Rhinolophus ferrumequinum: one gene and its partner. The protein of the gene in region 2 interacts with the protein of the main gene of each other region in a pairwise test. Links are inferred from orthologs where the notes say so. Each region holds a gene or a part of one and is shown on either strand. Other genes may lie near its edges.

Region 1 (7,673 bases), on a different chromosome or scaffold from region 2:
TTAAAGAAAAACCATAAAGCAATAGTTTGGCCTAAAAGTACTCTGTTGCTTGAGATGCTATATTGTAAAAATCTTCTTTTTAATTAAATTTATTTAAGATAGTTGTAGATTCACATCTAGTTGAAATAGATAATAAAGATCTCTCACACCATTTACCCAGTTTCCCCCTGCAGTAACATCTTGCAAAACAATCAAATATTGATATTGATAAGGTTGAGATATAAACATTTCCATCACCACAAAAATCCCCTCGATTGCTGTTTTATAGTCATACCCAATTCCCTCCTGCTGTCCTCCCCCCTTCCTTAACCCCTGCAACCACTAGCCTGTTCTCCATTTTTATAATTTTGTCATTTCAATAATGTCATGTAAATGAAATCATACAATATATAACCTTTGGGATTGGCTGTTTTCACCCAGGATAATAATTCCCTGGAGATTCATCCTGCTGTAAACCCTTTTAATTTGTACAGATCATGACAGAATTACAACCTAGTAAGTAAACAACGACCTTGGGTTTGCTGATGACTCATACTAAAGCAAAGGGCACAATGAAAAATTAAATTCACTCTGCTCTGTTATCTATTAGTGTTTTTCCTGCCACTGTAAAGATATAAAGACATTCTCGTTGTCAAATTGTTTTACCACTAAGACTGTTTTACATGTTGAAATTATAAACCTGTATGCTTGTGGGACCATAGTTTTGTGAAACTTGTCTCCAAAAAACATGGCTAGTTAAGTAAGAGCTCAAAAATCATACTTATTATAATTAATCATTTCAGATGGATACTAATTTACAATGAACTTCCTGAGTTTTCCCACTTAGAACTAAGTCTTTGCTCTCTCTCACACTACCAAAAAAAGAAAAAAGAAAAAGAATCCTGACTGAAATTGCTGTTGTTTGAAAAAACCGCCCTCATGTTGGGTTTAACCACTGCAGAGAAGAAACACATACCTCTGTCAGCTCCAAATTCTTAAAAACCTCAAGATGATTTGTTTGCACTTCAAACTTTTCCTTCAATGCGTGGAGGGTATCGTTCATAACCACTTCTAATATCTGCCAAACTTGGCAATAGTTTCTCATCACTGAATGATTATTTGAAAAGGAAAAGCAAAATCCAGACCAGATAATTGACTTTCTACTCCTTACCATTTTCAAAACCAGAAACCAAATAGCCTCATCTCACAATAACAAACCTGTAACACAAAAGATCAAGCTATAAATAATAAAAAGGTCTATAACCTGTTGGCATGTTGATAAAACATAAGCCTACAACTCATCGATCTTTTAACCAGATCTATAGTACTCTGTATTGGTGATACAATTTGTTAAGCAAATCAAAACTTTTTAGTCACCAGTCAAAAGATTTCTAGATGAAACACATACTTAAGTTTCTAACTTAGATAAAGAGAGAGAAAGGGAAGGGAGGAGAGAACAAACCGCCCCCCCTACCCTCCCCCGCCCCAGGCAGTTCCTTCAAATGTTTAGGAGAAAAATAATAATGTTATTTAAACATTTAAGTAATTACTTGCCCAGCAAAAAAAAATAAATAAATAGCAGGTATACTTTAACTTTCTTAATTAACCTTACTACATATACATATATGTACCCATACACACACACACACACACACACACACACACACCCCTCTTTAGGACTGACTTCCTAATTACAACTTTCAATGCCCACTCCTTTTCCTGCTTGGAGAAGGATCCCAAGGTTAACACCAATGGTTCCATTTAGACACTGCTGTTAACCAGGATAATAAATTGTCCACACTCCTTACTCCCTGGCATTAGCTCACTGACACAGGTTTGTCTCCACAGTCCAAGAGAAAACTCCTAGAGGGCTGGGACCCATGTCTCATTCATATTTGCACATCCCACAGTGCTAGGATCTACAAATGTGTTACACAAACTGGGCACTGAAAAAGAAATGCTGAATGTTAAGAAAACAATATACACATCCATATATAGACAGATCTATAAAACTCCAAACTGCAACAGGCCAATTTCCTAACTCCTACTAAACATGCCAAAGAAGGTAGAGAATAAATACATAGCTTAGTGGCACTATGTGTCCAAAAGCTTATGTGTGCCCTTTAAATAACCCATCTGTAGCTCAATTTTCTCGTCTGAACAATGACCTAACTCATATGGTTTTTACTACACACTACATAAGGGTTAGCGACTGATACGACTCAAAAAGACTATTACAATAAAAGTAAGGCCACGCAGTCCCACAAAAGAGGTCAAAAGCTTTAAAAGAAATTATTCTAGAAAAGATAAAATCAGAGGTTGGCAAACTTCTTCTGTAAAGGGCCAGATACTACTGTAAATATTGTGGCTTGTCAGGCCAAGGGACAATATCCACAACCTGTGGAGCAATTATTCTCCCTGAAAGGCAAATCGGTTGTTGTTTTTTCCTTTACATTTTAAAACTTAAAAATCATTCTTCGTACTCGGGCCCATACCAAAACAGGCTGGTTTGGGCCATAGTTTGCCCACCTCTGGGTACGATTATAACGATGATAACACTGATCAGTTTCTTTTTGAAAGCAACAAAAGGAAACGTTTGAGAGTTGATTCGAGTTGAGTGAAAAACGTGCTGCCCCCAAACCCCTACAATCCAGACAGGCAGGGCTGGCGTGGTGGGGAATCGGGCCAGGACGGGGAGTTGGGCCTCAGGAGCCAGCAAGGACTAGCCCGGCTCTCCGGGTCTTGCCCAGCCCCCTGCCACACTTACTCCCAGCAGCGGCCCGCGGCCAATCACCGTCTCCCCGGGCTCCAGGGCCAGCCGGGGGCCGCCGTCCTGCGGCTGCAGCTCAAAGCCCCCGGACATGGCGGCGAGGCTTAGGCCCCTTCGCAAGGAGTCGATCCCCGCAGCCGATTCCGCCTTCCCTGGTCACGCGCGGGGCCTACAAAGGTGCCCGGAAAAAACACTAGGGGAGGAAAGCAAAGACTCGGCTCGGGCGCGTCGAGTCCCGGCGCAGTAGGGAACCCCAGAAACAGGTTCCCCAGCCCCGCCCCTCCACTCGTACCTGTGACGCACTCGGGGATTCCCCTATCACACCTTCTCAAACTAGTGTTTAAAAGCCCCGGTTAAGACCACCCCCCCCATCATTCTCCCCGCCCTCCCGTCTTGGAGGACGCCGGACCTTGTAGTCCATAGCGCCTTCCTTCTCCTCCTTTGCCGAGCTGAGGCCCCCTGGTAAAACTACCAATCCCGAAAGGTAATGCGCGCTCCTCTCTACGCCTGCGCGAAATCCGAGTCAACAAGAGGTGGGGCTAGGGTGGGTGGAATCAGAGGGACTGTGTGTGGGGAATGCCTCAAAGGCCAGAGGATGTAAATCGCCGGAGAAGAGGCTGCCAGAGCCCAGCAGGTAGGAGGCTCTTCCCTTCCCGCTGACATCGGGCAAGCAAGCTCTGGGGCCCGGACCCAGCGCCATCGCAACCTCTGCTCAGCGGCGCGGACCTGAAATGACAGAGTTGTTATTGTTCATTTGTCAGTGCCCGGTGTTCTTTGAACTCCGGCAGCTGCAGCCTGGGCGAGGCACGCAAGAAGGGTGGCTCAGATGGGACTCGGGGTCATTCCTTCCGACCTGAGGGGTCTGGACAGGTTAGGGGCTCCCTGAGAGCCGGGAGGTCCGAGCTGCCTCCGGATCCCTCCCTCCGTGTGACACCTGGGGCGAGCTCTTCCCTAACTAGAGGTAATTTGGCAGCGCGGCTTGGTTCCTCAAAAGGAGGAAGAAAAGGGATAGTTTTGCAGGCATCCAGACAAAATTGGGTTTAGAAGAAGAAAGATGCCCACTGGGGTTTTAGGAACCTCACCGAGGCACCCCCGATTGTTAGATTCAAAAGCCTTCATCGGTCTTCTGTGGAGTACCTGTAACGGAGAGGACGCATTTTATTCCCCACTGAGATCATGGGAGTAGTAACAAACAATAACGTTCTACTAAAGGGAGTCTTTTCAAGAATATGGTAGTTTGGCTTTGGTTTGTATTGATGGTGAGAGAGGGGAGGTGCCTGGCAAAAACTTGCGGTTGACTCATGAACTTGTTTTTGCAGTTTGCTTTCTTCCCCAAAGAGGAAGTCCTCTGATGAACACAGACAGACATTAAAGTTCTAACCAACACGGTTAATTTGGGTCATACACAACCAAATGAATGGGAGCAATTGGTCTTGGCAAATCCAGAAATACAGGTTGAGGAGCTAATCTAGACGGGAATTGTGGTGAGCTAAGTTAAAAGAAGTTTTTAGCTGTATCTCAAACTCCTCCTCCGAAACCACCACTTCCTATTAAGAAGTGCAAAATGGAATAAACTGCTTGTAAGTAAGTATAAGCTATCTTTATGTGCAAAAATAGCTCCATGTTTTCCATTGATTTCAGAAGCCTACACCATGTCCCTTAGGTAAATTAGCTGAAACTGGACTTTAAATCTTTAGTCACGTGCTATACCTTGCTGAATTATAAACATTGTCTATAGCTCTTAGTTACTGTTGCTTGATGGCCTCAGTGACTATTATCCTTGGTTCATAATTAACTATGTATGTAGGTAGCTTCAAGAGGCTATTTCTAGAAGCTAATCTTATAACTTAACTGAATAGAATATTTGAGACTTTGTGTCATTATGACACTGAGCTCAACCTCTTGTCCATTTCAGATAGTGTTTATGTCAAAGGTTTGCATCTACCCATTAGGTACAAATATATAAACAAGTCTTATATAAACTACTAAATGTCCATCAGGTTTATGATTAAGTCACAAATTGTAGATAAAGAACTTAATGACAAGGCATCAGCTCCCACAGACACCAAGTGTTCAGGAGTTTAATAGAATTGAATTATATACATTTCCAAAGGTGTTTTCTTTTTTTAATGATTTTTTTATTTATTGGGGTGACAATGGTTAGTAAAATTACATAGATTTCAGGTGTACAATTCTGTATTACATCATCTATAAATCCCACTGTGTGTTCACCACCCAGAGTCAGTTCTCCTTCCATCACCATATATTTGATCCCTCTTACCCTCATCTCCAACCCCCCACCCCCTTACCCTCTGGTAACCACTAAACTATTGTCTGTGTCTATGAGTTTTTGTTTCTCATTTGTTTGTCTTGTTCTTTTGTTGTTTTTGGTTTACCACATATCAGTGAAATCATGTGGTTCTCTGCTTTTTCTGTCTGACTTATTTCACTTGGCATTATACTCTCAAGATCCATCCATGTTGTCACAAATGTTCCTATATCATCTTTTCTTACTGCTGAATAGTATTCCATTGTGTATATATACCACAACTTCTTTATCCATTCATCTATCGAAGGACATTTTGGTTGTTTCCATGTCTTGGCCACCGTAAACAAAGCTGCAGTGAACATTGGAGCACACGTGTCTTTATGTATAAACGTTTTCAGATGTTTTGGGTAGATACCCAGGGGAGGGATTGCTGGGTCATATGGTAATTCTATTCGTAATTTTTTGAGGAACCTCCACACTGCCTTCCATAACAGCTGCACCAGTCTGCATTCCAAAGGTATTTTCAATAAATATTTGGAGTCAAATGTGTTTTCACAATAGTCATTTCTACTAAACTCAATAAATTATAGTCTGTGAAGAATCACTTCTCTTTTTTAGACAATGTTCTTTGGGAGCGGAAAAACTAATGTTTAGAGACAAACCCTTTTACTAAAAATATTTTTAAAAAGAAGAGAAGTAACATGCATTGAGTGCCTCCAATGTGTAATTCGGATGTGAGGCTAGATGGTTTACATGTTACCCCTGTTAATCCTTGCAAGAGCACACAAGAGGAGTATCATTGGACCCATTTTACAGATTGAGAATCTCAAGTAGAGAAAGTTAAAGTTCTTTAAATCATTCCCAGAAAGTATCTGGCTCAGAGTGGGTTCTGTAGTCTTACCTGAAGAGACTAAGTATGTTTAAACTCTGCATTTTAGGTGACATATGAGGATAATTTACTAAAACATCAAGCTATGCAGAAGAACTTGAAGAGGAACAATAATTCAAGAGTTTCTGACATAGGATTGAACTCTTTGGATGCTGAGAAGGAAAACAAAGAGTATCAAAATAAGTTTTTTGAACAGCTACCTGACGAACTTTACGTACAAATTTTCAGTCAGCTGGACATGCGGAGTTTGTGCAGGGCGTCAATGACATGCAAGAGGTGGAATTCCGCAGTAAGCAACAATGACTCCTTATGGGAGCCTCATTGCTTAGCTGTGAGAGTTGTGTGCAAAAGAGAAATAGATGACGATCGAAAAAGTGGTTTTTCCTGGAGGGTAAGTTTCCTTTTTGTGGTCTGCAGTGTTCTTAACAATATGGTGGTAGGTTTGAACCAACTCTACCTTTTATTTGGAAGAGTTAGGATTTCATAAACAGAATGACATACAGAGTGTGTTGGCTTTTGGACTTGGTGAATTATTCTGTTCCTGCAAAACACAGTATCTCCCATCCATCCTTTTACATTTTTTAAATCCTAAATTTGGGCATTTTTGTCTGTTAATCAGAAGGATAGTGGCTACTTGTTTTCACTCCACATTATCCAAAACCCCCAGCAAACTCTGGTGCTACACACACACACACACACTCACACACACATTTATTAGTATATGTGCATAACAAAATACTTAATCTTTTTAGCCTCAATCAGCTTCTCTGGTTTCAAACAAACTCACTAACAAACCACCTACTACATTCTTTGACGATGATGGTTTTACCTCTTTCAGGACACACTACTGAGGAATTACCAGAAGAGTAAAGTGAAACTTGAATGGCTTACCGGAAGATACAGCAACATATGTTCTCCTGGTAGCCTACCAGAAAAAATCATGTACCCGATGGATGCAGAAACATGGGGGGAAATTCTAGAAGCAGAACTGAAAAGATATGCAGAAAAATCACAAGCAGATCTCATAACTTTGAGAGTTTAAAACTAAAATGACTCTGAGATTGCAAAAGATATAGCTTTATCTATTGATTGTTTTGTTCACCTTTTTAAATATTTAACATTTAAAAGAAAACTAAGTAGAAAATATTATAAAAGTAAAGTCTGTTTTTACTTGACACTTTAGAAAAAAATATTTTTCTGGTTTTACTGTAATGTGAAAAAATCATGAAATATTATTTATATAAGAAATACAATGCTAATAGAGTAATTACAAAATGTATTATTTCATGTATATGTCTTAATATATTGTGGTGCTTTAATAATAAGAGAGTTTGATTGGTATTTTCTGCTTAATGATAATTCAAAAATTCTGGAACCCATTTGAAGAAATTGACTTAGAGATTCTTTAAGTGGTAGGTATAACTAGGCTCCTGGGGGGACTTATTTAAATGAAATTAATAACAATATGTTTAAATGTATAATAAATTTGTATTTCAAAAACTAAAATTTCCATTTCAGTGGAATTAGATGGAATTGTCAAACATTGAAACCATTTTAAAATGTGCTAAATTTGTGATTAATCTGACCATAGGGCTAAAACTTGTGAGATTAAGGTTCCCATTATTTGCCTATAGACCTGGAATTGCTCTCAGGGACTGAAAATATATGGAAAGTTTTCAGAACACTTAACTACAGCAGAACTGCACTATTTTTCTTAGTAAACCTCACTTTCTTTCTGACAGCCTCGTAGCACCACCTAGTGTCCT
Region 2 (7,555 bases):
GCATTCTGAAGGACACAGTGCAAATCTTATTTAAAAAATTACTTTGACCACGCGATCAGAAGAGAAAAAGACTAGTAAGAATGGAAAAGCTTCCAAATACATGGAGTCAAATATGGTTATGAACCCTGGCTACTCATGAACATTTGGAGTTTTTAAAAACAATGCCCCGAAATTCGGATTGAATAGAGTGGACATCTACAGTTTCTCAAAGCTCTCTGGAAGTGTTTATTGTAGTCAGGGCTACAACCACTATGGACCAGCATCCACTTCAGTGGTTTTCAAAGTGTGGTTCATGGAACCCTGTCATGGGTTTATGAGGTCAAAGCTAGTCTTATAATACCAAAAAGATATCTGCCTTTCTATTGTGATTTTTCTGTGTGTTAATGGTGCAAAAGTAATAGTAGCAACAGAATTATCATCTTAACCAACTCCGTCTATCCCCAAACCACTGAGGCAAACAAAGGTTTCTTTTCTTCTTGAATTTCTTGTGGCACTAACGGCATTGTTGTATAATAAAAAGAGCCTAAGATTTGGTGACAAATCTGTTAAGTCTTAGCTTTGTGAAATATAAGCAGTGTGATCTTGGGCAAGGCAGTTAACTCTTCTGTGCCTTTTTCTTCATAAGCAATGTAGTCAATAATGTAAGTCTTTAAAAACTGGAGTTGTGCTTCATCGACCTTCACGAAGCACCTTCAAAATGATTTCCTTATTTATCCCTTCTTTTTGCCTAACTACTGTGTTTCCCTGAACATAAGACCTGATCTTATATTAGTTTTTGCTCCAAAAGACGCATTAGGGCTTATGTTCAGGGAATGTCATCCTGAAAAATCATGCTAGGGCTTATTTTCCGGTTAGGTCTTATTTTCGGGTAAACATGGTACTATTGTCAAGAGTTGAGGCATTCGATCATCTACTATCTGTGTCACTGCCATTTGTTTCTAAACTGGTCTCCCAAATTTTAATCTTCCTCTATTTAAATATACCCTCCAGCTGGTTTGTTACCAGCTGGTTTCCTTAAAAGCACACTATTCTTTTGCCTGTTCAAAGTGTTTACCAGGTAAGCAATTAAATGTCATCAAAACAAAGTCCTTAATATGGCAAAACCCCCTTCAAGATCTGGCCCCAATATTTCTAGTCTCATCTCGTCATTTCACTGCTGAACTTCTATTCCTGCCAGTCTCCAAGCAAGTATTCAACAAGATGCCCTTTGGCTCCACAACGGCCATTTCCTTGATTTATCTACAGGATAGAGGACACTGTCCCAGTTCTAGCTAATGATTGCTTTCCTAATCTAGCTAATGATTCCTTCTCTAATCCCTAATCAGTTTAACTCAGGGGTGTCCAAACTGTTTTCAATGTTTTTTACCAGGGGCCATATGCGGTAAAATACACAAACAGCCGGGCCACTCACTCGAGGTGAAGTACGTATTGCCTCACCTGGTTTATTTAAATAAACTAAATATATTTTTGGAATTTGCTGCGGGCCAATTAACAATGGATTGCGGGCCGCAGTTGGCCTGAGGGCCGCAGTTTGGACACCCCTGGTTTAACTATAAAATGTGGGCAATAGCTCAAACTCTGCAGGGTTTGTGAGCATTAAATGAGATTATCTGTACACCACTTAAGATACCAACACAGTAAAATGAAAATAAACTTGCTTAGGTTCACCAAGTAAAAGATGGGAACTGGCAATGATTCTGACCCTATTTGGCTCAGTATAAAGCCTTTATGGTCTATATGGTCTTTCCACTACATATACTGTCTTTCTTCATGCTAGCAGATAACACGTGGAATTTAGTTATGTAATAATCTTCCCAACTGGACTGTGAAGTCCTTGAAGACACTGAGAATATCTTATATGACTTTGTATCTCCAGACTCATTCATTGGAGTACTAAGTCTAATTGACACTGTGATGTAGATTAAAAGTCTTAGTTTCTACTTTAAGAACTCTGCCCAGAGAGGAGAGAAATATAGGCAAGACCCTATTGCTTTCTTTCTTGTGTTAAGTGCAATGCTAGAGGGATGCTGGAGGTATAGACACGGACTATGGATGCTCAAACGGATACCTAAAAGCAGTAGAGAAAGAGAAGGGGCAAGGAAGGCTTTTTGGGAAGAGATAAATTTCAGATGAATCTTGAAGGATGTAAAGGGTTAGGGAGAACAAGGCATTCTGAATTTGTCAAAAGTATTAACTCATAAGTATTAACTCATTGTCAAGACTGTTTATGTCTGATAGTTGTACACTGTTACTGCTGATAAACATCTGATGGCCTTGAAATGCATTTAAAAAACTGAATTCATTAAAATACGGTAGTTCAGATTTGAGTCATTATTATTGGGTTATCTCGCAAACACCTGTGTATCAAGTTTAGAAGGAAACTCAAAAAGAAACTGCATTGTGCAGTTCTTCCAACTACAGTGTACTTTCTCTAAAATGCTGACATCCTAAGCTCACAGGAACAGAGCAGGAATGAAAAATTAATCACCTGGCAGTTTCTATTATCCACCCATGTCTGATCGGCATATTATAGTTGAGGGCAACAGATCACTAAGACATATCGGTTATGTTGTTCTATTAACAACAGCCTGAACATTGCTGGCACCTGGACATTAAGGTAACTTTGAGCCCTGGCTTCACTACCTATTAGGTGTGTGACTCCAAGCATGTCAGTCTTTTTGCTCCCTGACTTCCTTCACATGTAAACATCTACTCAGAAGTTTTTCAAACACAGCCTGGCATATATCGAGTGCTAATAAATGAGAGCTACTATTGTTACATTTGAAAAAAACAAATATGGCCAGTTTAAACACTATTGATTTTAATTACAGTATCTGTCTTCCTTTCAGCTAGTACATAAGATAATCTGATGATGAAAAGAATATATCTTTGACTTGTACTAGGAGTAAAATAATTCAATTTCAGCTTCTAGAAGATATGCAAGAATTAAGAGTAATAGTCCCTCTACTCTTTTTACATTGAAGAAGGAACCACATTTTCTAAGTTAAGTAACCGCTCACTAGTGATACTCTAAGAGCACCTATCATATGATAGGTGGGGAAAGAAGCTGCAAAATATTTATGGCCAAGGAAGGAATAACCTGCCACAAACTGCCATCTCTTCGTTAAGTGGTAAACTTCTCCAGGGAAAAGTCTGTGACTTAAACCCCACTATAATCAAAGCAGCTGAATAAAGCAAGCAACAAGTAATGAGTTTTCAATTAAATGTCTAAGGGCTTTGTGCTGCAGGAACATCTGGCAACCCAAGCACAGCAACTTTTCAGCATTTTGGGTATCATGGTTGCTTTCGATACAACAATAGAAGGCACATATCCTTTCCCCAGAAATATGCTCATAAATACATTTGGGACGTGAACTTCATAAATTCACCATGAGGGCCCAGTGTAAAGGCTGGTGGCATTTACTATAACAAAGCCTGGGAGATTATACTATCACTACTTCTACCACCTCTGTCCTCTGACCAGGCTGGGTTACTTCTTTTTTTTTCAACCTGGTGACGTACGCATTCTTTTGCGAACTTTTGTGACTTATTTCAAACTTTTCCAAGCCGGCCCAAACTGTCAAAAGAATCTGCAGTAATACAAAATAACACATTTAACCTTAACTGAGTGTGGGAAACGGGAGGACGGCTGGAGGCCAGGCACCACTTCAATTACCTTTAGCTCCTAGAAGAGAAACCACCTCTGCAGAGAACGCCAATCGTTAAAATGTATAGTTTGTAAAATAGCATCTTTAGGGTTGAGAGAATGAAGGAGAGGCCTAAAATTTGGGGTGTACTGGACAATGAAATAAACACCTGGGTGAGGCCCATGGGGAGATAAGGCGAGGCAAAAAAAAAAAAAAAAAAACAAGCTTAAATTCGACTAGTAAGGCCTCAAAGGGTCAAGGACCGCTGAGTCTATGAAACCGACGGGTTAAGCCAAACCAGCACATTTCTTCCTAACAAGTCAAGAACTGGCTCCGCAGGACAGGATGGGCTCCGCGACCCCGGGGTCTTAGGCAGTCTGTCCTGGTTCTCCCGGGTTGGGCATGCAGAGGCCACATGGCTCCAAGGCCTGCGCATCCTCCGCACCCCCGCAAAATCAAGTTAGTGACAGGATTCCCTGGCCCGCGCACCCACTGCTGCCGCCCAACCCTTCAGTCCTAGTTCGGGCCCACCGACCCTTTACAAAGTTCAACCGCGATCCCACAGTCCCGGTTCTTACCATAGTGAGGCCGGCGAAGCCTCAGCCACATCACCCTTCCGGGCCCAGGGCGGAAAAGGCGTGCACTCCCCGCCTGCCCTTCTCGCTCCCTCCCGCGGTCCGGTTGGACCTGTCAGGGCACCTCCTCCTGAGCCGCGCGACTCAGACGCTAGGATAGGCTCCTCTCTATCGGAAAAGGCGGGTTTAAAAGACATCATGCTACCGTGCGGAAGTAGATGACGCTCTGATTGGCTGCGGGACGTCAGCCTGTGGGAGCGGGCCTTTTGGAGGAGACCGGAAGTGGAGTCACTGACAGGTAGGTTTCGGAAGTGGGGAGTACCTCTGTACAATATTAACTGTAGTCCGGTCCTTCTTTTTTTCTTGTTCTTTCGTCCCACCCCTTTTCTTTCTAATTTTTTCCCCCTGTTATTTCCCACTGGAACTCCGTAGTGCGTGGACATTTCCCAGCTCTAATCCCCCTCAATGTGTAAGCTACTGGGCCCTCGGTTTGTTGCCTGTCGGAGATGGCTTGGGTTCCCTGGCATTAACCACAGGGCCTGCACCTGCTGGGCGTCCTTTTCAGTTTCTCCCGTTGCACCCGAGGGGTTCTTTGGATTGCAAAGCGCCTTTGAAATTCCTTGTAAAATTCTGGGATTAGGAGGACACTTGAGTCTGGATGGTTGTGTTGATAAGCTGTTTGATCATTTCCCTAACACTGGCCTTTTCTCTCTCCCAATCCCAAATTTGTTGCACACTGTCAGTGGGTTGCATCTGGGGCTGAAACATTCTCGGCCCTTTGGGATCAGGAAAAAACTTTCTGTAGTAATAAATGAAAAGGAAAAGCCCTTTCCTGAGTTCAGTAATTATTTCTCTAGAGAAGTGATCCATCAGCAAGACAAATCACATGCCAGCTTTTTCTTTAAATCAGTAGTGTTATTTAACTTCCTCTAATTTTAAAATCCCATTAGACGAAGCTCTATCCCCGCCCTCCACCCCCTCCCCGTTTTTGTCTTTGTATATTCTAGATGGAGAAACAGACACGTTGACATGTTCAGTTTGCATAGTTCTTGGGAGTTTCTAGAAGTCGGAGGCGCAGAGTTTATACTTTTGTCCCCTTAAGTGAATCAGAAAATTATGGCAACTCTTTGGCTCCAAGTGTATAGTTAATTTTTTCTCAGGCCGCAGAGGGTTCTTTTCAGAATGTTGTTTTTTAAATACTTTATTAACTCAGAAAGTGAATTGAAAAAAATAAGGAAGGGAAACTCATATGAGTTGTTGATTTATGTGGTGTATATGGCCAAACTATGAGACCCTTCTATATTTACTGCAACACGGTGATTAAACATTTGGATTGCTGCTATCTGTGATTACATTGTTCACTACAACAGACAAAAAAAAAAAACACAAAAAATTGTAACTACTTTGAATCTATTGAATTGTCAAGAGTTGGTCAAATATACACTTTTAGGAAGTATTTTCTGAGCTTTCTTCAAGGGAAAATGAGAGTGCAGCAGAGGAATAAAGATGGCCTCTTGGAGAAATTTAATGTTCTCCAAGAAATTTAATGTTCCTGCGAGAGGGGATGTTCCTGCGAGAGGGGAATAAGAAATGTATCAAAATGTACTGTACGTTCCTCCTATCAAAAAAGCCATTTAATGCTCTCCCTTGTAATTGCTTTACATTATACCTAAGTCTGGCCATTCTAATTAATCTTGGCTTAGGAAATAATTTCCAAATTAACCTTGGAAATTATGTTGTGCGACTCATCAAGCTGGCTTCTAACGTAATAAATGTGTCTGTAGACTTTATAACTGCTTTTGCTTTCATGTGAAGATCATTTGGATCTTTATGAACACTTAGGGTAATATACTTCTGTGTGAAGCTGTGAAGCTACCTATCAAGAGCACCAGGAAACTGGAGTTGTTAAAGACCAGAATCGATTTACCATATTTATGGATTATAATTAATTTTAGGCCATGAAGTTTTATATATTTCAGCTTCAAACTAGTAAAGAACAATGTTTGCCAGTTATTTTAAAGTTATCCATAGAATAACACAATGGTTTATTATGTATTTATTTATTTTCATGTAACAGCAAACAAAGGTAATCTGATCTGTGGTGAGAGTCTGGGGAGGTTGTCATGGAGCTACTTGGTGGTTAAGCACATAAACCCCCTGCTTTTGGTTTTCACTGCTAATAAACTCATTTAAGTACTAGCTCACATCACTAACTAGAAATCTCCTTTCTGGCAGCTCTGCTATGGATTCTCATTTATTACTAAAGCATCTCAGATCATTTTCTTAACAAAACTAAACTCTGACGGTGTCATTCCTTTGTTCAAAAATTATTGCCTCTCCTGCATCTAGAGAGTATTTTAAACTTTGGTTTCATGGGTTCCCTAGAATTTTATGTAAAAATAGCACATATTTATATTTTTCTGTGGAGAGATTGCATAGGCTTCTCCAGTATTACAAAGGTTAAATACGTTAATACAAGTAAAAAGTATTTGGCATGCGGTAAGCACTCAGTAAGCATTGCCTATTGCTGTGTGCCTGGCTTTTTGTTTCACTAAATTAAAAACTCCTTGAAGGGAGGGATATTGATGTACAGCTGATTGACTTCCATGTTAGCATGCAATAAAAGGTTTTTAAATTAAATTGGTATTGCTTTTATACCACCAGACTACTTTCTCCCCCTTTTCTCTTCTTACTTTGCACATAGTATGGATAGTGTTGAAGGTTTCCTTTTATTTGGTTTCCCCTTTTCTTATTCACTGATAGTCACATATATTAAAAGACAATCGTTTTACTTAATAGCTTGTTTTCTCTGATCCTCAAATAGCCTTTATAGTCTTAGGTTGAGGTTCTTTGTATTCTAGTGTTTGTCCTTTCCTCACCTCTTTTTTATTCTCTTTCCTCATGGGTCTTAGATTAAGATACATAAAAGTTTGTTTTTGACTTGCATGTTATTTCTTTTGCCTTAAGAAATAACCTTTCTCTACTCCAACCCATTTATTTGCTCTTCTAAACAAATATCCACAAGGAGTTCTCTGTGCTCCAAATCCCAATTTCTTTTTTTTTTTCCCTATTCTTTCTTGTGTGGGGGAGGAACAAATTTTTCCTCCTACTCTTAGAAATTTCTAATGGCTGGACTTATAAATTAAAATAAGACATTAATGACCAAACTGTACTTACGGGGATTTCGTAAGAATATGAGACAATGATGTAGATGATATTGGATCTGCCGGCAGTTTCTGGGTGTGGGCCGGGATCCCATCTTGTGAAGCCGAAGAATGGACACAGGGACCAGGAAGAGGCAAAAAGTTTTAAAAAGAGGATAGTTTATTTGAG

What was found.
Region 1: the proteins of XRCC4 (region 2) and APLF interact in binary tests that used the Homo sapiens proteins (3 or more experiments, as listed by UniProt). The link is inferred for Rhinolophus ferrumequinum from reciprocal best matches to the Homo sapiens genes XRCC4 and APLF.

Annotation. Positions count from the first base shown.
Region 1 is NC_046296.1:22,141,670-22,149,342, forward strand, and holds the start of APLF (aprataxin and PNK-like factor), read right to left. Parts: upstream 3,049-7,673; 5' UTR 2,843-3,048; coding exon 2,747-2,842; intron 1-2,746. Other genes in the region: FBXO48 (F-box only protein 48), read left to right, coding at 5,993-6,298, 6,746-6,949. UniProt on the Homo sapiens protein: Histone chaperone involved in single-strand and double-strand DNA break repair.
Region 2 is NC_046290.1:53,738,980-53,746,534, forward strand, and holds the start of XRCC4 (DNA repair protein XRCC4), read left to right. Parts: upstream 1-4,458; 5' UTR 4,459-4,520; intron 4,521-7,555. Other genes in the region: TMEM167A (protein kish-A), read right to left, coding at 4,226-4,228.